2 linked regions of the Callithrix jacchus genome follow. The protein of the gene in region 1 purifies or fractionates together with the protein of each later gene. This does not show direct contact. Links are inferred from orthologs where the notes say so. Each region holds a gene or a part of one and is shown on either strand. Other genes may lie near its edges. The genes, in order: FBXL15 and SKP1.

The links.
Region 2: the proteins of FBXL15 (region 1) and SKP1 purify together in Homo sapiens (affinity purification with western blotting; 10 studies listed by BioGRID and IntAct, counting the BioPlex papers as one, with this or other methods). This does not show direct contact. The link is inferred for Callithrix jacchus from reciprocal best matches to the Homo sapiens genes FBXL15 and SKP1.

The regions. Positions count from the first base shown.
Region 1 is NC_133513.1:95,410,876-95,421,332, forward strand, and holds FBXL15 (F-box/LRR-repeat protein 15), read left to right. Parts: upstream 1-4,069; 5' UTR 4,070-4,095; coding exon 4,096-4,136; intron 4,137-4,309; coding exon 4,310-4,463; intron 4,464-4,746; coding exon 4,747-5,252; intron 5,253-5,784; coding exon 5,785-5,974; 3' UTR 5,975-6,114; downstream 6,115-10,457. Other genes in the region: PSD (PH and SEC7 domain-containing protein 1), read right to left, coding at 1-35; CUEDC2 (CUE domain-containing protein 2), read right to left, coding at 6,404-6,550, 6,633-6,693, 6,773-6,834, 6,969-7,151, 7,236-7,369, 7,470-7,531, 7,622-7,765, 8,088-8,161. UniProt on the Homo sapiens protein: Substrate recognition component of a SCF (SKP1-CUL1-F-box protein) E3 ubiquitin-protein ligase complex which mediates the ubiquitination and subsequent proteasomal degradation of SMURF1, thereby acting as a positive regulator of the BMP signaling pathway.
Region 2 is NC_133503.1:74,170,574-74,180,666, reverse strand, and holds part of SKP1 (S-phase kinase-associated protein 1), read right to left. Parts: intron 4,941-10,093; coding exon 4,797-4,940; intron 2,084-4,796; coding exon 1,943-2,083; intron 962-1,942; coding exon 926-961; 3' UTR 900-925; exon of another isoform or gene 59-899; intron 1-58. UniProt on the Homo sapiens protein: Essential component of the SCF (SKP1-CUL1-F-box protein) ubiquitin ligase complex, which mediates the ubiquitination of proteins involved in cell cycle progression, signal transduction and transcription.

The sequences.
Region 1 (10,457 bases):
CCTTCTGAGCAGAAGCGCATGGCACCCTGGGCCATGCTGGGGCCGGGGGTCAGGCTGGGGGGGCAGGGATGGCGAGGCCAGGCGGGGAGTAAGGGGGCTGCATGCTCTTCAGACAGGCCTGTAAGAGAGGAAGGGGAGCATGGGGTGAACTGCCAAGGAGTTAGATGGACAGGACAGCAGAGATAGGGAAGGGAAAGTTGGCTGCAGACTCTGAGTACCAGGGACCTAGCTCACCCTGGGAATATGAGATCAATGATCCCACGCCTGGGGGCTACTTCCATAGAGGCCTGAAGAGAAAAGAGTTATACACCCGGTGGGCCCCTGGCTCCTTTCCTTCTGCCTGGGGCCCTGAGCATCACCCTGGGAGGAAAGAGGAAGCAACTTCAGAAGTTGAGTGGGCTACTGGTACTTTGGGGCTACTGCTGGTATGGGGAAGTTGGTACCCCACCCTCTGGAGCAAGGGTGTCAGTCAACTGTCACCATCACACAGTCCTGTGACCCCTATAGTCTTTCTTATGGAGTCCCCTCACTCAGGGAAGGGAAACTCAGGTCTTCTGGAAGGAGAGGGAAGAAGACCAGGGGTTATATAGGGATGCTGAAGGGCTAAGAGGCACAGCATGGAGGTAGGGAGAAAGGCCTGAGCAAAGGCTCCTACCCCTGATATATGTATACAGAATGGGAAAGGGACATTCTTTTTGTTTGTTTTTGAGGTGGAGTTTCGCCCCCGCTGCCCAGGCTGGAGTGCAATGGTGCTCTTAGCTTACTGTAACCTCCACCTCCCAGGTTGAAGTGATTATCCTGCCTCAGCCTCCTGAATAGCTGGGATTACAGGTACCTGCCACCATACCTGGCTAATTTTTATATTTTTGGTAGAGATGGAATTTCACCTTGTTGTCCAGGCTGGTTTCAAACTCTTGACCTCAGGGGATCCCCTCGCCACGGCCTCCCAAAGTGTTGGGATTACAGGCGTGAGCCACCACACCCAGTCAGGGACATTCTTTTCTCCATACAGGTACAGACAGGCACACACATATACACACACATGCACACACACATACATAAGGACAACTATATCAGTACACAGTCAAACACATTCATAGGTAACACCCTCTGGCATACACAGACACAGACACACACACTGCTCAAAGACACACCCTCATGCACTCTCATAGTCATAACAAATATGTGTGTAATGGAAAGGCACATGCTTGTTTTACACACACACCATCATCAAACAGTAACACACAAAGAGGTACCCAAATATATATATATAGGCTGTTACCCTCCAGTGCACACAGAGGTCCAGGTGTATCAGACACTCAGATACCTAATACTCACAGTCACATACACATACAGATGTACATTTACACACTCAAGCAGGGACACACACCCTCCCCTCCCCCCACTAGTCACTGGGGTCTCTTGAGGGGAACCTGCACCATATTCCTCATTTCCCTCGTCCCCCAGGGGTATGACGGATCCTGTCCGGGCCAAGAGAGACCATAACCGGGTAAGGGGGCCTCTGGTGGCAGTGCAGGGGAGGGGCAGAGGTCAGGAACAGCAACCCTGCCAGGCAGGTTCTGGAAGCTCAATGGGGTCCCAGCGCATACCCAGTGCAGCCCCAACTCAACGCCACCTCAGTACTCACCGCTGCTCGCCCAGAGCTGAGACCGAGGAGAGACAGAGGAGAGGCTGGGCCCAGCTCAGCTGTGAAGGAAGCGCGGCTCCCGCTTGCTCCAGGCCCGCCCGCCTCTCAGTCCCTCCCCCTACCCCCTACGCACCGCACAGGCAACGCTAATCCCCCCCCAGCCCCCGCCCTCTCCCAGGGCCTGGAGCCCTGGAGGCTGCCAGCACCCCCTTGTCGCTAGGTCCCTGCTGGGCTCTCCCGCCAACCTAAGACCCACCCCAGACCAGGAGGAGGACGCATGAAACCCTTGCTTCTATTCCCCAGACCCTCACGTGCCCCACCCCACTTGTGTCCACGTCTCTCTCGCCCACCGCCCCTCGAGCCACACGTAAGGCCCGGCTGTACACGCGTGTCCCGCCCCAGACCCCACGCGTGTCCCTAGGAGGCTGCCACATGACCTGTTACATGCCACACGCGCTCCCGCCCCCACGAGCACGCGGCCGCACCAAGCACACGGTATGGGTGTAGACTGGACCCGCCCCCTAAATCCAGGAGACCATCAACTATGGAAAGGAGATCTAGGGAACACCCTCTTGAACCCGCCAGGGGTTTTGAGTCTCGGACTCAGGAGACCCAACCCTAACCACCCTCCCGGGATGCAGCAGGGGAATGTTAAATCAGACTTCAGGAAGAACTTCCTTGCTGCCTGAGTTAGGTGTCGTCACCCTTGCCAAGGTGTAAGAGGTTAGATGGGATGACCTCGGGACTGGAATACGTGAGGGACAGGCAACCCTTGTGCCCTTGGCCAGGGTAGAAGGGGGCCCTGCTATTTTAAGAAAGCGCCGCTCGAGTTACTATGGCAACTACTCTCCTTAGGAGGGCCAGGGCGGGCAGATGGTGACCTCGGAAGGAAGAAGGGGTCTGTTAGGGCAGTCAGGGGGCGCGAGGACGTGAGAGGCGGGGGCGCGCGGGGCTCACCGCGGGGTGGGGCGGCGCGGACTCCGCGTGGTGCTGAAGGGGACAGCGCCAGATTTGTCGAACTGCGCAGGCGCAGAGGTGCGAACAAAGAGGGGAGGGGGACGAGGCGCGCGGCCGGAGGCGATGCGTGCTCTCACGTGGCTCGATCTTTGCAGGGGTCTGTCCTCCCAGTTGTCCCCTCCCCAAGCAGGCTGAGGAAGAGGTAGCAAGCCCTCACCTAACTTGACCCCCTTTTGGTCCTTCCCCGCTGCTAGCTTCTCCCTTCTCGCTGCCTTGCGGGTTGGGGGAACGTGGAATTCTGGGAAAACCAGATGTCTGGATTCTCTATTCCCGTCTGGCTGGATTCCGGACAAGGCGTTTCCTCTCCAGGGCCTCGGTGCCCCCATCTTTAAAATGGAGTGATAACACAGACCTGTCCACCTTTCAGAGGTGCCCGAAGCAATGACGAAATAACAGACAAGAAGCAGTTTTCGTTGTGATGAACCACTGAATCGGCTGCACCGAAGTAGCGCCAGATCGTCAGCGGTGCAATGGCCCTCGCATCCTTCACATTCCCTCACACCCATCCCGTGGATGATGGGGGAAGGCACTATTCCTGGGGTTCTCATAGCGGAGCCTGGGATTGAGACGTGGGGACGCGGTGAGAGGCAGCCCAGAAGCTGAGTTCAGAGGTCTGGGGCGTCACTGCCCCAAGGCGGACCCAGCCCCAGACACTACGACTAAACCCAAGGCCAGCCAAGAAGCACAACCTCTGGAGGGCTGAGCTGAGCTCTCATTCTTCTCAGGACTCTGGACCTTTGGAGGAAATAAAAGGGACCCAGTTGGAAATAAAATTCCTTCTTCGCGCCCCCTACGTCTCTCTCCCGCGGCGGAAACGCAGCCCAAACTAAATCGAAGTGGAAGAGGCTGGATAGCTCTTCACAATTAACCAGGAATGGGAAGTTTGAGCAGGTTTACTTGATGAAAGAAAAATTATAGCCTCGCCCATTCATTCATTATTTCAACAATTACTGATTGAACACCTGCTAAGTGGCAGACAGTAAGAGCCTGGATAATTTCTCCCCGTTTTTCAAAGTCGCTAAATGCGACTAGAGGACAGAGGCGAGGTCGGTAACCTAGGAGTCCTGGCTCCGCCCCCTCCGCTTTTGGCCTTGCCTGCTCCTCCTCCCGTCACCACTTCGCTCAGAGGCGGCCACTGGCCCAAGAGGACAGCAGAAGCCAGTCAGTCTCTGATGCCCACCGCTTTCTCCAGCTTCGGGCCTGAAGCCCTGTAGCCGAGAAGGCGAGGTCTAATGTTACACCACCGGTCTGTTCCGCCTACGTTTCGGCTTCCATCCGAAAAGCTTTCAGATCGGATCCTCGGTGAGACGGTACTCGATTGAATCGGTCTGTCTCTACAGGCCAAGGAGGCGGGTTTGGCTCGGCCACTCCAAGGCCAAAGCGAGGAAAGCGTACTGCGCACGCGCAATAGACAGCCGAAGGAGCCACCGATGGAGCCGTCCGGAGGGGAGCAAGAGCCCGGAGCCGTCAGGTACCGAGCACCGGAGGGACGGAAAGAGGAAAGAGGAACCTGAGAGAAGGGAGCCGAGCCGGGGCTGGGGCCGGGGGCCGCTCTTGGGAGCTTGGGCGTAGGGGCATAACGGAGGCGGACTCGCAGGTAATAGTGGCCCCGGGATGCCAGTGCCAACGCCCCTTTACTCGCAGGCTCCTGGACCTGCCCTGGGAAGACGTGCTGCTCCCTCACGTCCTGAACCGGGTACCGCTGCGCCAGCTGCTCCGGCTGCAGCGCGTTAGCCGGGCCTTCCGGGCACTGGTACAGCTTCACCTGGCCGGGCTGCGTCGCTTCGACGCCGCGCAGGTGAGCCTGGGGCTGAAGCTCCGCCCCTGCCTGAGTTCCGCCCCGCCTCTAGGCCAGCCCCCAGCCCCACTGTTTGCCCTTCCTGACCCCCTTAGGCCACCGGAGCTGCCCGGGATGGGATCCACGCAGTAGGGAGTACTCCCAAAGGGCGAATACTGGGTAGCGACTCAGGGAATGTGGGGGTCTCCCCTGGGAGAACAGGCGGCTGCCAGGAAAGAACGGGCGCATAGGCGGCTGAGGAGTGCGGAACGGGCTGAGAGTTGGGGTGCCTCCTCGCCCGCAGGTGGGTCCGCAGATCCCACGGGCCGCATTGGCCCGGCTGCTGCGGGACGCCGAGGGGCTGCAGGAGCTGGCGCTAGCGCCGTGTCACGAATGGCTGTCAGACGAGGATCTGGTGCCGGTGCTAGCGCGGAACCCGCAGCTGCGGAGTGTGGCGCTGGCCGGCTGCGGGCAACTGAGTCGCCGGGCGCTTGGGGCGCTGGCCGAGGGCTGCCCACGCCTGCAGCGCCTGTCGCTCGCGCACTGTGACTGGGTGGACGGGCTGGCGCTGCGCGGCCTCGCCGACCGCTGCCCGGCCCTGGAGGAGCTGGACCTCACCGCCTGCCGCCAGCTCAAGGACGAGGCCATCGTGTACCTAGCGCAGAGGCGCGGCGCTGGCCTCCGCAGCCTCTCGCTGGCCGTCAACGCCAACGTGGGGGACACCGCGGTTCAAGAGTTGGCTCGGAACTGCCCAGAACTCCAGCACCTTGACCTCACCGGCTGCCTCCGCGTCGGAAGCGACGGTGTCAGGTGCCTGGGCCTGGTGGGGCGGGAGGGTGGGAGGAAGGCAGTCTCACTTAGCCTCTGAAGGTATGGTGCGGGCTGTAGTTGCTAAAAGGACGGACTGAGGGTTCTGAATTTTCCTGCCAACCACAGAACCCCCATTCTGAACAGAAAAATCCTCTAGGATTGCCTTCCGGACCCCCTTAGGCCAGAGAGCCCATAGTTTAAAAACTTTTTGAACCAGTATTTACACATTGGGAGATTTCACATAGAAAGTCGACTTCTGGCTTTTCTTCAACGAGGGGGAAACCTTGCAATTCTAGGCGGAGCTGAGGGACAGGTTCCCCCCTTAAATGAGACAGGAAGTCTCCGCCTCCCTTGAATCCAATCCAGGCGCCTCCCTTGTGTGGGACGGAAAAAGTATGCCCCTGCCCCGAACTGGACGGAGACCGGGATTTTGCCGGAGCTAGTCCGAGGCTGAGTGAGCCCGGGCCCCCACCCTGCCCCACCAAGGGTGTGGTGGCCTCTTGCCGCTAGCCTCATCCTGCTCCTCCCTCAGGACACTGGCCGAGTATTGCCCGGCGCTGCGCTCGCTGCGAGTGCGGCACTGCCACCATGTGGCCGAGTCCAGCCTGAGCCGCTTGCGGAAACGCGGCGTGGACATCGACGTGGAGCCGCCGCTGCACCAGGCCTTGGTGCTGCTGCAGGATATGGCGGGCTTCGCACCTTTTGTCAACCTGCAGGTCTGACTCTGCCAATCGGAGCACAGCTGGACTGTGTGGCTGGGGCCTGACACTGAGCGGTAGGGAAACCGAACCGTGGGGTCCTCTGGTGAGAGGCCAGTGCCCTGCCCCACCCTGGAGCTTCAAATAAAGAGCTTTTCACCCCCTTTTGCCTGGTGCTGCCCTGTCGAAGATAGAGGATTCAAGGTTTGGGAGGGAAGGTCAGATAGGCCTAGTGTCAGACAGTCTTGAGGCAGAAATGACCAGAATGCACTCACACCTTCCTTGGGCCACCTTTACTGAGCCCATGGAGGCAGCTCCGAGTAGGTTAACACTATGGAGCAAAGAAGTAGAGAATGGGGACAGGAGTTAGGGGGCCTATGTGTAGGGCTGTAGGGCTCCTGCATCCCTCTGGGATCTAAGCCTAGAAGGCCGGGGCAGAGTCCAGCAAGTGCCTTAATGGAAGCGGTACTTTCTGGCCGGCTTGAGGTTGATGTACGTGGCCTTCATCTCCTCAGCCTCAGGGTTCCGCACATCTTTGAATCGCTCCCCTTTGGTGCTGACTATCTGGTTGTCGATGTATCGGATCAGCTTCTTGGGGGCCTGTCAGGAAATCAGGCAGTGAGTGGCAGAAGCCAGGAGCCAGTCCCACCCATTCCACATCCCCAGTAACCCCAACTCTCACCTCCTTGGGAGCCATGGGCCGGTGAATCTTCTGATCCTCTGCACTATCCACCATCATGTACCTGCCAAAAACTGGCTGGATGAAGCTCTTGTCACCCTGGGAAGACCCTCTAGGGACAGCCCAGCCCAACCCAGACTCACTTCTGCAGGATGAAGGACTTCAGCTCATCCTTTTGGGGGCCTCTGAGGCGTCTAGGCAGGTCCTGCAGAGAGGGGAGGCCTGGTCTGCCCAAGGGCACCAGCAGGGGAAACAGACAGGGATAGGTAGGGGTCGGGGCTTAACACCGAGGTGGAATGTAGCCGAGGCTACATGGTGGGGGGTGCTGGGAGAAGATACCTGGTTGGAGCCATCCCAGGCTGCAGGCCCCTCCTCCTTCCCCTCTACCAGCATCTGCACAGCTTCTTCCAAGTCCCCCCGAGCTTTGGCCAGCACCCAGTGGGCCTGTTCCACCGAACAGGTAGGGAACACCTCCAGGAGTACATCCACCCCTGGCAGAAGCTCCTCCTCAGCACCAGTTGCCTAAGGGTACAAGCATTAACAAAAGGCAATACTCCCCCTTTCCAGGCCCCTGAGTCCCTCATTGCTACCCTCCTCTACCAGTACCTCATCTTGGGTGTCCCCAGCAGCAGCAGCAGCAGAAGACCTGGTCTCCTCTTTGAGCATTTCCGGCCGCTGCAGAGGCTCTGGGGAGATGGGCACCTGACCTTGGACACCAGAGCTCTGCGGTTGCAGGTTCTCTTAAAGAGGCAGAGAGAGCATCAGGTTTGCCAGCGCTCTGGGGAGTAGGGAATTGGGAGGGGTCATGAATCACCCAGGTGCCTACAGCCTCAGACTCACCTTTGTTCCTAGCATCGCTCAGCTGCCCTGAGAGCTTCTGCATCATGTCCCCTATTGTGCCCCTGAAAACATAAGGGTAGTGAGAGAAGACAACTCTACCCACCCCATAATCAGCCAGCCCCTTCCTCCTCCTGGCCCCAGCCAGAACCTACCTGGGGATGTGGGCAAAGCCAGGCACATAGGCCTCCATCATCTCAGTGAAGGCCTCCATATCGAAGTTCTCCTCTGATGGGCCTGAGGGGCCCAGGTCCTCCAGGACCCCGAGCACATAGGAGAAGATGACCTCATCCAAACCACTGCAGGAAGGGGACAGGACAAGCCCTGGGTAGGACACTGGATACCTCCAGCATCCCCACCTATCCTGAAACTCCAGCCTTCAGCTTCATGGGGTTCATGAGCTAGACCTTAATCCTTGAGGCCAAAAAGTGTAACCCCCTCTCTCAGAGCTATGGTTTCCCCTCTGCCCAACAAAGGTAACAGGGACAGGATGAGCAGGAAGGCCTCTTAGCAAATTGTAATCAGCCCTCCCACCATCTTTCCATCAGCCAGGACTCATAGCACTGCCAGGCAGCTCCAGCTGTGGCACTGACGTGAACCTTCCCAGGGAGCTGTCTCTACCTGAGGTCGGCCTCCGGGAGGTACGTCTGGACAAAGGAAAGGAGGGCTGCACTGACGATCCTCTCCAGCTCCATGCTCTCTCCTCTTCTGAAGGGACACAGACAGACAGGATGGCCAGGCCCTCTTCCGTCTGCACTCACCCACTGGACCTGGGGGCAGCAGCTCCTCCCTCCTGGCCTGCTGTGGAACCATCTGTTGATGCTGCCCTCTCTGTTCTCCCAGAACCATGCCCCCTCCCCCGCCCATCTCTTACCTCCTCCAGCCTGAGACAGGACAGGGTACTGTCTCTGGAGACAGCCTCTAGAGGAGTGCCCCCCACCTCTCCCCATCCCCCTACCCCATTCCCTAGCAGCAGCCCCAGACCTTCTGGCAAGGTCTTGAGGTCACATGCCTCCTGGCTTAGAAATCCCATAAGTGAGGGGGCCCCTTAGCCTCCAACCACAAGGAGCCCCATTGTCCAGCCCCTCAAGGAGCAGCCTCATGACCAAGCACAGCCCTTCCCCCACCCAGAACAGCCCACCCACCCTCTGCACAAAGGGGCTTTTCTGGCTCTGGGGCCCAGATAGAAGGGGAAGCCTTTTATGGATTCTCTCCTCTCCCCAGTTCCTGCCCTTCCTGCAGCCTGGGGCTATCTGCAGAGCACTTTCCATCCTCCTCTGGCCAGGCTCTCCAGCCTCCCCAGTCCTTCCTGGCTGGCTTGCTCCTGCGCCACCTTGCTGTCCCTCAGACTTGCAGAGCTTCCTCCTGTCTCTACCCACATGCTCCTGACTCCCAAACAGACTTTTGGGAGTCAAAATGATGTAGATGGGATGGAACATGTCAACAAGTATGTATTGTGCACCTACCCAGGACAGGCATTTTGTGTTCTGCAGACATCCATGGCTTGTCCAGTCACTCCTCAGAGCTCCACTCAAATGTTACATCAGAGAGCCCTTCCCTGACTAACCTACAGCAAAGAAGACTTATCGATGCCCCTAACCCTACATAGCACCGTTAGCATTATTTGTGCTTATTTGCCTATTGTCTGTCTGCCCCATAAAATGGAAGCTCCAAAGCAAGGTGGGGAGGAGGGGGACACTCTGTCTTGTTCATGCCCTAGCACCTAGAAAAATGCCCACACTAGGTGGGTGCTCAATACATACTTGTTGACATGTTCCATCCCCATCTACGTACTTTTGACTCCCAAAGGTCTGTTTGGGAGCATGCCCTTGATTTTGCTCTTTTTCACCCCTACCTGCTGCACCCAGTCAACCACCAAGTCCGTCAGTTCTACTGCCTTCTTATCCGAATTCTATCTACTTCTCCCTTTCTCAAGTCTGGCTTCTCTAATATCTCCACCAAAATTTCTTTTTGAGACAGGGTCTGGCTCTGCCACCCAGGCTGGAATGCAGTGGCATGATATGAGCTCACTGCAACCTCCACCTCCCCAGCTCAAGCCATCCTTCTGCCTTAGCTTCTGGAATAGCTGGGACTACAGACCTGTACCACCATGCCCTGCTAGTTTTTCTTTTTTTTTTTCTTTTTTTTTGTATTTTTAGTAGAGATGTGGGTTTGTCATGTTTTGAGCTCCAGGTTCGAGACCCAAACTGGTCTCAAACTCCTGGGCTCAAAGCAATCTACCCATGTTGGCCTCCCAAAGTGCTGCGATTACAGGAGTGAGTCACTGTGCCTGGCCCCAAAATTTCTTAGACCAAAATTTCCAGGTTTTGGTCTAATTAAGTTGAACCATATGAGCTTGCCAATTTTGTCTTTTTTTTTGAGATGGAGTCTCACTCTGTTGCCCACGCTGCAGTGCAGTGGCGCAATCTTAGCTCACTGCAAACTCTGCCTCCCAGGTTCAAGCAACTCTCTGCCTCAGCCTCCGAAGTAGCTGGGATTACAAGTGCCTGCTGCCACACCTGGCTAGTTCTTGTATTTTTAGTAGAGATGGGGTTTCACCATCTTGGCCAGGCTCGTCTTGAACTCCTAACCTCGTGATCCATCTACCTCAGCCTCCCAAAGTGCTGGGATTACAGGTATGAGCCACCACACCCGGCCCTTTTGCCTAGTTTTGATCTACAAAAAAAGAGAGGGCAATTTCTCATGGTTTCACCTTTTTGGTGCCCTTTCAGCAGCACCAAATTTGGTTTCTGAGACATTCTCTCCTAGTATCCTTCTATCTCTCTGGCCGTTTCTTCAAAGGCCCTTTCTCTGTCCCCTTCTCTGTCGCCCTCTAAATGTGAGAGTTCCTCACGTGCAAGGCTCCCGCTCCTCCTCACTGCAGCACTTGTTTTCTCTGGAAGATCTCATCTGGTCCCACCTCTTTATGTATCAACACCATATCATCAATTCCCAAATGTCCAGTCCTCTAGTCCAGTCTCCTCTGAGCTA
Region 2 (10,093 bases), on another chromosome or scaffold:
ATTCAACCCATTTAAGTGAAGAGACACATTTAAGTCCACAAAAGCAAACTTAACTATCTACAATATAACTTACTTTTTATTGAAAGTATCTTGCATTCATGATGGATGTTTTCTGAATTTTACCACATATTTTAATGTTAAAAGTTAAATTATTTTTACATGCAAGTAGTGTGAATAATTTTCCCCACATGGGAACACTGATTATAAAAAGATGACATCCCACATAGGTTAAGTGTCTTTAATTGAAAAGCTAACAAACTGTCCAGTTACATTTCTCCCAAAAAACCACAAACTGTGTAGTAACTGAGTCTCTAGGCAATATATTTAAAGCTAAGAGGATTAAAAATAAAATTAAAGAAAAAGAAGACAAGTCCTCAGATGCAATGAAGGGAGGAGCCCTGCTAAATACAGGCTAATCAATATGGTGGTACTCCTTGCCTGCAGGAGGCTGAAAGACATCCTAGTAACTCCACTCAGAACATTTACTTCAAGAAGCCTTTTGCAGTTTCCAACTCATGAATAAAGATAATATTTTGTTAATTCTATTCCAGATAACTTTTTTGCAGGTTGTTTTATTTACAATGCCAACTTTTAAAAGGTCACTAAAGTTAACTGGACAATAAACTAGGCAGACACTGCTTTACAAAAAAGAGGGAAAGCCCAAAATGCCACTTATAGAGAACCCACAGTTCAGTTTTATTCAGAGCAAAGAAAAAAGAAACTTTCAATCATATTAGAAGAAACTCAGCCATAGATTTGGAATCTGTACTCAAACTACACATGCAATGAGGACAATATTCTGCTAATACAATTTACTTACTGCTGCATTTGTCTACTGTTTGTCTAATATTAACAATTATAAACAGAGCAGTGCAACTAGTACTTGGAACGATCCTTACAGTGTTACAGTGTCAGGCACAACATTTCACTTCTCTTCACACCACTGGTTCTCTTTGCGTACCTAAAAGAGATGGATATAAGGAAGTACCTTAACTTTAGTAGTGTTTCCTAAGACTTAAATATACTACCTACTGATTCATCGATAGCCAGTGAGTCAGTAGAATAGATGGAAAATCAGAACACCAGACTGAGACTACACTTCTGGATTTCCTTTTTTTGCCTCCCAAGGTTTTTATTCTGCCCTGCTGAAATTCTGAACAAAATAAAGACAATGGGCAGTTTACTAAAGTTGACAGAGCAAATTCAGTTAGTTAACTGACACAATTTCAGTCTGTAGTCATGTCAACAAAATCATTCTGATCTATTTTTTCATTTCCTCCCCTCATTAAGTTGCTCTCAAGTGCCCTAGCATACACTTCTCTAGGGCCTGCTTTTCTGAAGTCAGATATGTATGGTCTATACAAAAAGCTGCAGATGCCAGAACTAGTAACTGTTAACACATTTACAAGAAAGAGCTCCTCTTGTTGAAAACTAATTGTTCTTATGCTTAAAAATGCAGTATCGGCCGGGCGCAGTGACTCACGCCTGTAATCCCAGCAGTTTGGGAGGCCGAGGTGGGTGTATCACGAGGTCAAGAGATGGAGACCATCCTGGTCAACATGGTGAAACCCTGTCTCTACTACAAATACAAAAATTAGCTGGGCATGGTCGCACGAGCCTGTAATCCCAGCTACTCAGGAGGCTGAGGCAGGAGAATTGTCTGAACCTATGAGGCGGAGGTTGCGGTAAGCCGAGATCGCGCCATTGCACTTCAGCCTGGGTAATAAGAGCAAAACTCCATCTCAAAAAAAAAAATGCAGTATCATGTAAGTGTTTAGACTCATACAGACAGTACAGTAAGAGTATGTTTAAGACACAGAAACTACCTAGTATCCCTCAAGTATCAAGACTACTTGATACAGTCACCTCTTTTCTGGTGTATTACAGGCTTTAGTCCCTTTTTAAGAGCATGCGATCAGAGACAAAACTGTGTGCCACCTACCTGGGCTTCCTCCTCTTCAGTAAAGTCATTTTTGATATTGAAGGTCTTGCGAATCTCCTCAGGAGTTTTCCCCTTGATCATATTGGCAACAGTCTTGCATGTAACATCAAGCAAACCTTTGATGTCTAAGTAGTTTGCAGCCTGTAAAGAGATAGTTGTTTTCCTTAAAGTATACTTGATGTTTTAAACTAAATCTAAAGTTAATGATTGAAACTCCATGTCTAATAAAGCTTAAAATGATAATTTTATTAAAGGGAGAAGAATAAATCACTCATAAGTTCCTCCATGAAAGACTTTTATGTGACCTTTGTTACATCTCTATGATGCTGAATCCTTCTGCTTCCTTAACCAAACTGTATTAGCTCAAATGTTAATGGCCACTACTGTTGTGTATGTGTGTACAGACACACATCAGATCTTGACAAATACCACATCAGATCTTGACAAAAATATTTGTCCACACTTAAAGAGTTCAATAAGCAGTTATAGCATTATATTTAGTGATCTGATTTTTAAAAACAGGTTTTGGTTTCACTGACTTTATTACCTATTTTCTATTTCACTGATTTCTGCCCTTATATATTCTAATTCTTCTGTTTGCTTTGTATTTAATTTCATCTTTTACTAGTTTCTTAAGGTGGAAGCTTAGATCACTGATTTGAAACTTTTCTTTTCTAATAATATAGGTATTTCATGCTATCAATTTCCCTCTAAGTATTTCTTTTGCTGCATCTCACAGATTTTTCATGTGTTTTATTTCTATTCAGCTCAAAATACAAATTCTTTTTATTTCTTCTTTGACTTACAGGTTATTTGCAAATGTGTTAGTTTTAAAGAAGCTGCAGATTTTTCCAGTTACCTTTCTGTTTGTGATTTCTAGTTCCATTGCAGAGAACATACTTTGTATGGCGTAAATCCTTTTATGATAGAGATTTTTCTTTTTGAGACACCGTCTCACTCTGTCACCCGGCTGGAGTTCAGTGGTGCAATCTCGGCTCACTGCAACGTCTGCCTCCCAGGTTCAAGCGATTCTCCTGCCTCAGTTTCCCAAGTAGCTGGAATTATAGGTGTGTGACACCACACCCAGCTAATTCAGGGGTTTCATCATATTGACCAGGCTGGTCTCAAACTGCTGGCCTCAAGTGATCCACATGCCTCGACCTCCCAAAGTATTGGGATTACAGGTGTGAGCCACTGTTCCAGGCTGAGACTTGTTTTATGGCCCAGAACACGGTCTATCTTGGTAATATACACTTGAAAAGGATATGTATTCTGCTATCGTTACATATAATGTTTTAGGCCAGGCACAGTGGCTCACACCTGTAATCCCAACACTTTGGGAGGCCAAGGCAGGTGGATAACCTGAAGTCAGGAGTTCGAGACCAACCTGACCAATGTGGTGAAAGCCCGTCTCTACTAAAAATACAAAAAATTAGCTGGGCATGGTGGCAGGTGGCTGTAATCTCAGCTATTCAGGAGGCTGAGGCAGGAGAATCACTTATCTCGGGAGGAGAGGTTGCAGTGAGCAGAGACTGCACCACTGCACTCCAGACTGGGTGATGAGTGAGACTGTCTCAAACAGATACATAATATATAGATATAGATAGATAAAATGTTTTATAAATGTCCATTAAGTTGGTCAATAGTGTTATATCAAGTTATCATGATTTCTGTCTACTTGTTATATTAATTGAGAGAGGTACTGAAAGCTCTATGACTGCAAATTTGTGGACTTCTTTGAGTTCTTCTGGGTTTTGTTTCACTTCTTGAAATTCTTCTAGGCAAATAAACATTTATGATTGTTATGTCTTCTTAAAAAATGGATCCCCTTAACGATACAAAATAATCCCCTTTAACCCTAGTAATATTCTTTGCCTCCACATCTATTTTAACATAGTCACTCCAGCTTTCTTTTGATTCATGTCAGTATAGTTTACCTTCTTTCATTCTTTAAACCTAGGTGTGTCTATTTCCTTAAAGTGGGTTTCTTACAGACAGCATAGCTAATCTTGCTTTTTTGATCTGTTAATTTCTGCCTTTTAACTGTGTTTAGACCATTTACATTTAGTGTGTTACTGATATGTGGATTTAAATATGGCATTACATTTTAATTCAGAGTATTAAAATTCAGTGTCAATGAAGTTAGCAAATTTTAAATCTGTAAGAAGTAATATTTAAAGGCTCTGGAATAGAGCTATTTTATATGTTAAAAAAAACTTACCAGATGCCAGGCATGGTGGCTCATGCCCATAATCCCAGCACTTTGGGAGGCTGAGGCAGGTGGATCACAAGGTCAAGAGATTGAGACCAGCCTGACCAACATGGTGAAACCCCATCTCTACTTAAAAATACAAAAATTAGCTAAGCACGGTGGCACACACCTGTAATCCCAGCTACTTGGGAGGTGGAGTGAACTGCTTAAACCTGGGAGGCAGAGTTTGCAGGGAGCCGAGAACACACCACTGCACTCTAGCCTGGGCGACAGAGCGAGACTCCGTCTCAAAAAAAAACAAGGCCGGGTGCGGTGGCTCACGCCTATAATCCCAGCACTTTGGAAGGCCGAGGTGGGTGGATCACAAGGTCAAGACATAGAGACATTCCTGGCCAACAAGGTGAAACCCCGTCTCTACTAAAAATACAAAAATTAGCTGGGCATGGTGGTGCATGCCTATAGTCCCAGCTACTACGGAGGCTGAGGCAGGAGAACTGCTTGAACCCAGGAGGTGGAGGTTGCGGTGAGCCCAGATCGTGCCATTGCACTCCGGTCTGGGTAACAAGAGCGAAACTCCGTCTCAAAAAAAATAATAATAAATAAATAAATAAAAATTTAAAAAATTAAAACAAAAAAACTTACCAGAATGAGTTCAAAAAGTGTTCCTTGGTCAACTTTCAGGAATTCTTGGTCCCAAACAGGAATATCATCTGTTCGCTTTTCTTTGTTCTCATCATCCTCAGGAGGAGGAGGGTCATCCTTGTGGTGGGTGCACCACTGAATGACCTACAACAACAAGTTGATTCTTCAGTGGCATTTTGTCAAAGGTACTCATTCCACTGCTGGGACAACTTATCTCTATGTTGGGATAATAACTAGCTAGAGGTTGACTTGAGCAATTAACAGCCAAGCTTGAAAAGCAAAAATGAAGCTTGAAGAATCTTTATAACCCTAGAAGGCAGAAGATCTTATTAGATAAAAGCAAGCCATGTAGACAGAGTACCATACTTGACCACATTAAAAAGCTTCTACGCAGCTGGGCGTGGTGGCTCACGCCTATAATCCCAGCACTTTGGGAGGCTGAGGCAGGCGAATCACAAGGTCATAGATGCGACCAGCCTGGCCAACATGGTAGAACCCGTCTCTACTAAAAAAATACAAAAAATTAGCTGGGCATGGTGGCCGGTGTAATTTCAGTTATTCAGAAGGCTGAGGCAGGAGAATCACTTGAACCCAGGAGGCAGAGGTTGCAGTGAGCCAAGACGGCACCACTGCATTCCATCTCAAAAAAAAAAACGTTTCTATGCAAAAAGAAAAGTTAGACAGGACAATGACTGGAGGATATCTCCAAAACGTAGAACAATGATTAGCCTAGAGAATATAAAATATTTTAAAAGTCACTATAGAGAAATGGGTTAAAGATATGTACAGGCAATAAATGAAAACTGAGTAGTCAAATGTAAGGAACACTCAACTTCTTAGAAGCAAAACTAACACTACAGATACTTCTCTAGAATGAAAAAAAATCAAGAAATTGATACTAATTGTTGGACAATAGTGGAAAGGAAACACGAACTCGAGTATAAATTGGTATAACCCATTTTATACTAATCCAGCACTCCTTAGTAAAGCTGAATATGTGCATATACTGTAACCAGGAAATTCCAAATACCCCAGACACATCTGTAAGACTATATGGTGCAACAACAAAACAGCAAAAGCCCCAAAGTTCCCTTAATAAGAGAATAATGACTTCATAAAGTTTCAGGAAGCTGATTACCTACATACCAACATAAAGACCAAAATCAATACTTAAAGTGTTTTAAGTTGTAGAATCTAGGCAGTGGCCGTATAGGTGTCCACTGTGTAATTCTTTCAATTTTTCTGTATGGTTAAAACGTTTTCATAGGAAAATGTTGGAGAAATAAACAATGCTGAGAGAAAATAGTAGAGCCAAGAAATTATATTGCCAGGATACAAAAAAACAAAAAAGAAAGAAATAACAGTTTCAATAAGGCAAAGCCAAGCAAGGGTTTTTTGTTCATTTGTTTTTGAGACAAGGCGTCACTCACTGTGTCACCCAGGCTGGAATGCAGTGCCGTAATCATGGCTCACTCGACCTCCTGTGCTTAAGCAATCCTCCCACCTCAACCTCCCGAGTAGCTGGGGCTACAGGTGCATGCCACCACACCTGGCTCATCTTTTTATTTTGTTTTTGTAGGGATAAGGTTTCATCATGTTGCTCAGGCTGGTTTCAAACTCCTAAACTCAATCAATTCACCCACCTTGCCCTCCCAAAGTGTTGAGATTACAGGTTATGAGCCACCATGCCTAACCAGCAAAGGGTTTTAATGAAACTTCTTAAGCAGTATTCCAATAATATAAAAGGAACAAATGGCAATTAATATTTGCTTATCTGGGCATTTTAAAAACTCTAAAGCTAGGCACAGTAATCCCAGAAATTTGGGAGGCTGAGGCAGGAGGACTGCTGAGTGCCAGAAGTTCAAAACTAGCCTAGGCAATGTAGCAAGACCCCACCTCTACAAAAAAATGATAATAATAATAATAAATAGGCTGATCGAGGAGGCTCACACCTGTAATCCTAGCACTTTGGGAGGGTAAGGTGGGAGAGATGCTTAAGCCCAGAAGTTCGAGACCAGCCTGGGTAACATGGTGAAACCGTCTCTTTAAAAAATACAAAAATGAGCCAGGGGCGGTGGCGTACATCTACGGTCCCAGGTACTCAGAAGGTTGAGAAAAAAGAATCACTTGAGCCCAGGAAGTTGAGGCTGAAGCAAACCATGATTGCGCCACTGCACTCTAGTCTGGGCAAGAGAGAAAGAGATTCTGTCTCAAAAAAAAAAAAAAAAAATTACTACCACTACTAATAAAAAAATAATAAAATTTAAAAATAAAAAACTCTTTAAAGGATATATAAGAAACTAATGCCTGCCTACGTTCACAACGGGTAGCGCCAGTAAAAAAGAAAAACAATAAAAAATGCCACATTACTTTCTGGGGGGAATAGTTTCCCATCAGATAAGAGACAACGATGGGAAATTTTACTGTACACTTTCAGTTTTGGCATCATGTAATTATTATTCAAAATACAATATACATTCAATGCAAACAGGCTTTAAAAAAAAAAAAAAACTTCTTAGCTAGGTGTGGTGGCTCACACCCATAATCCCAGCAATCTGGGAGGCCAAGGGAGACAGATCACTTGAGCCCAGGAGTTCCACACCAGCCTGGGCTACACAGTGAAACTCCACCTCTATAGAAAATACAAAAATTAGCCAGGTGTGGTGGCATGCGCCTGTAGTCCCAGCTACTCAGGAGGCTGGAGTGAGAGGATCACCTGAACCTGGGAGGTAGAGTTGCAATGATCCATGACTGCACCACTGCACTCCAGCCTAGGCAACAGAGTGAGACCCTATCTTAAAAACACAAAACAAAACAAAAAACCAAACACTTCTCATTCTCACAAGTGGCCCTAAATCACCCAGCCCCTTAACTCTGATTTTATCTACTTCCTTCTTGTTTGGTCACTGTGCTCTAGCTTCCACTAAAATCCTTGTCTTTCCTGAAATGGCAGGGCATGCTCTTGTCTTAAGGTCACTGCACTTGCTCCCAAATCCAAGAATCCTTCCCCCGCCACATATTCACATTTCTTTGTTTAAAGATCATCTTCTCAGTAAGGAATCTCCTATCTTTATTTTTAAAATAGCTTACTGTTCACCTACTCACCCTTTTATGTTCCCCGTTCCCTTCTTCATTCTCCATAGCTTTTCCATCTGATATATTTCTAATGTTGTATGTTTCCCCAACCCTTCAGATCATAAACTCCATAAGGATTTTGGGTTCACTGCTATACCCCCAGCTTTTGAATGGCATCTGAATGTACCTGGCATTTGAATGACTACAAGCAAAGATCCTTTTAGAACCATTTTTCATTAGTATAAAATAGAATGTTACTTGTAAGGCATATTCAGAAATCATAAAGAATGAGATCTGGCCAGGCTCGGTGGCTCATGCCTATAATCCCAGCACTTTGGGAGGCTGAGGCAGGTGGATCACAAGGTCAAGAGATCGAGACCATTCCTGGTCAACATGGTGAAACCGTCTCTTACTAAAAATACAAAAAAATTAGCTGGGCATGGTGGCGCACACCTGTAGTTCCAGCTACAAGGGAGGCTGAAGCAGGAGAATTGCTTGAACCCAGGAGGCGGAGGTTGTGGTGAGCCAAGATCGCGCCATTGCACAGCCTGGGTAACAGCAGCGAAACTCCGTCTCAAAAAAAAAAAAAAAAAAAAGAGATCTAACTAGATAAAATAAACCCTCTAAATCATAAAATAAATTAACTAAGATAAGCAAACTGGTAGAAACTTTTTAAAAGAGTTCTTATAAAAAGCCTATTAGAGTCAGGGCACGGTGACTCACACCTGTAATCCGAACACCTTGGGAGGCCGAGGCGGACAAATCATGAGGTTAGAAGTTCAAGACCAGCCTGACCAACATGGCAGAACCCTGTCTCTACTAAAAATACAAAAATTAGCCAGGTGTGGTGGCGCACGCATGTAATCCCAGCTACTCAGGAGGCTGAGGCAGGAGAATCCTTTGAACCCAGGAGGCGGAGTTGCAGTGAGATCGCACCACTGCACTACAGCCTGGGCAACAGAGTGACACTGTCTCCAAAAAAAAAAAAAAAAAAGCCTATTAAATAATACCACTGAATTGTCACTTCAAAATGGTTAAGATGGCCAGGCACAGTGGCTCACGCCTGTAATCCCAGCATTTTGGGAGGCCAAGGCAGGCAGATCACAAGGTCAAGAGATCCAGACCATCCTGGCCAACATGGTGAAATCCCAACTCTATAAAAAATACAAAAAATTGCTGGGCATGGTGGCACATGCCTGTAATCTCAGCTACTTGGGAGACTGAGGCAGGAGAACTGCTTGAACCCAGGAGGTGGAGGCTGCAGTGAACTGAGACTGTGCCACAGCACTTCAGCCTGGGCAACAGAGTGAGACTCTGTTCTCAAAAAAAAAAAAAAAAAAAAAAAAAATGGTTAAGATGATGGCTGGGCATGGTGGCTCACGCCTGTAATACTAGCACTTTGGGAGGCTGAGGTGGGCAGATCACCTGAGGTCAGGAGTTGGAGACCAGCCTGACCAGCATGGAGAAACCCAGTCTCTACTAAAAGTACAAAATTAGCTGGGTATGGTGGTGCACGCCTATAACCACAGCTACTCAGGAGGCTGAGGTAGGAGAATCACTTGAACCCAGGAGGTGGAGGTTTCGGTGAGCCAAGATCATGCCACTGCACTCCAGCCTGGGCAATAAGAGCAAAACTCCATCTCAAAAAAAAAAGAAGAGAAAATGGTTAAGATAGTAACTTTTGTTATGTATATTTGACCACAATTTTTTAAGCCCATTAGACAACATGGATGAACCTTGAAAACATTATGCTAAGTGAAATAAGCCAGATACAAAATGACTAATATTATATGATTCCATATATGATGTGCCCAGAATAGCTAAATTCAGACACCCAAAGTAGAATAATGATTATCTAGGGGACTTGGGGAAGGGAGTGTACAAAAATGCGGAGTTATGATACAGAGTTTCAGTTTGGGATGATAAAGTTCTGAAGATGGTTAGTGGTGACAGCGGCACAACACTTGTGAGTGTAATTAATGTCACTGAATGGTGCACTTTTAAAAACTGAAAATGATAAACGTCATATGTATTTTTACCACTTTTTAAGTCCATTAGGAAAACAGGAAAATGAAAACAGACAATGCAGAAAATGTAAATGGCCAGTAATACACGTAAAAACATTCACACTTTGGGAGATTGAAGCAGGCAGATTGCCTGAGGTCAGGTGTTCAAGACCAGCCTGGCCAACATGGTGCAACCCCATCTCTACAAAAATACAA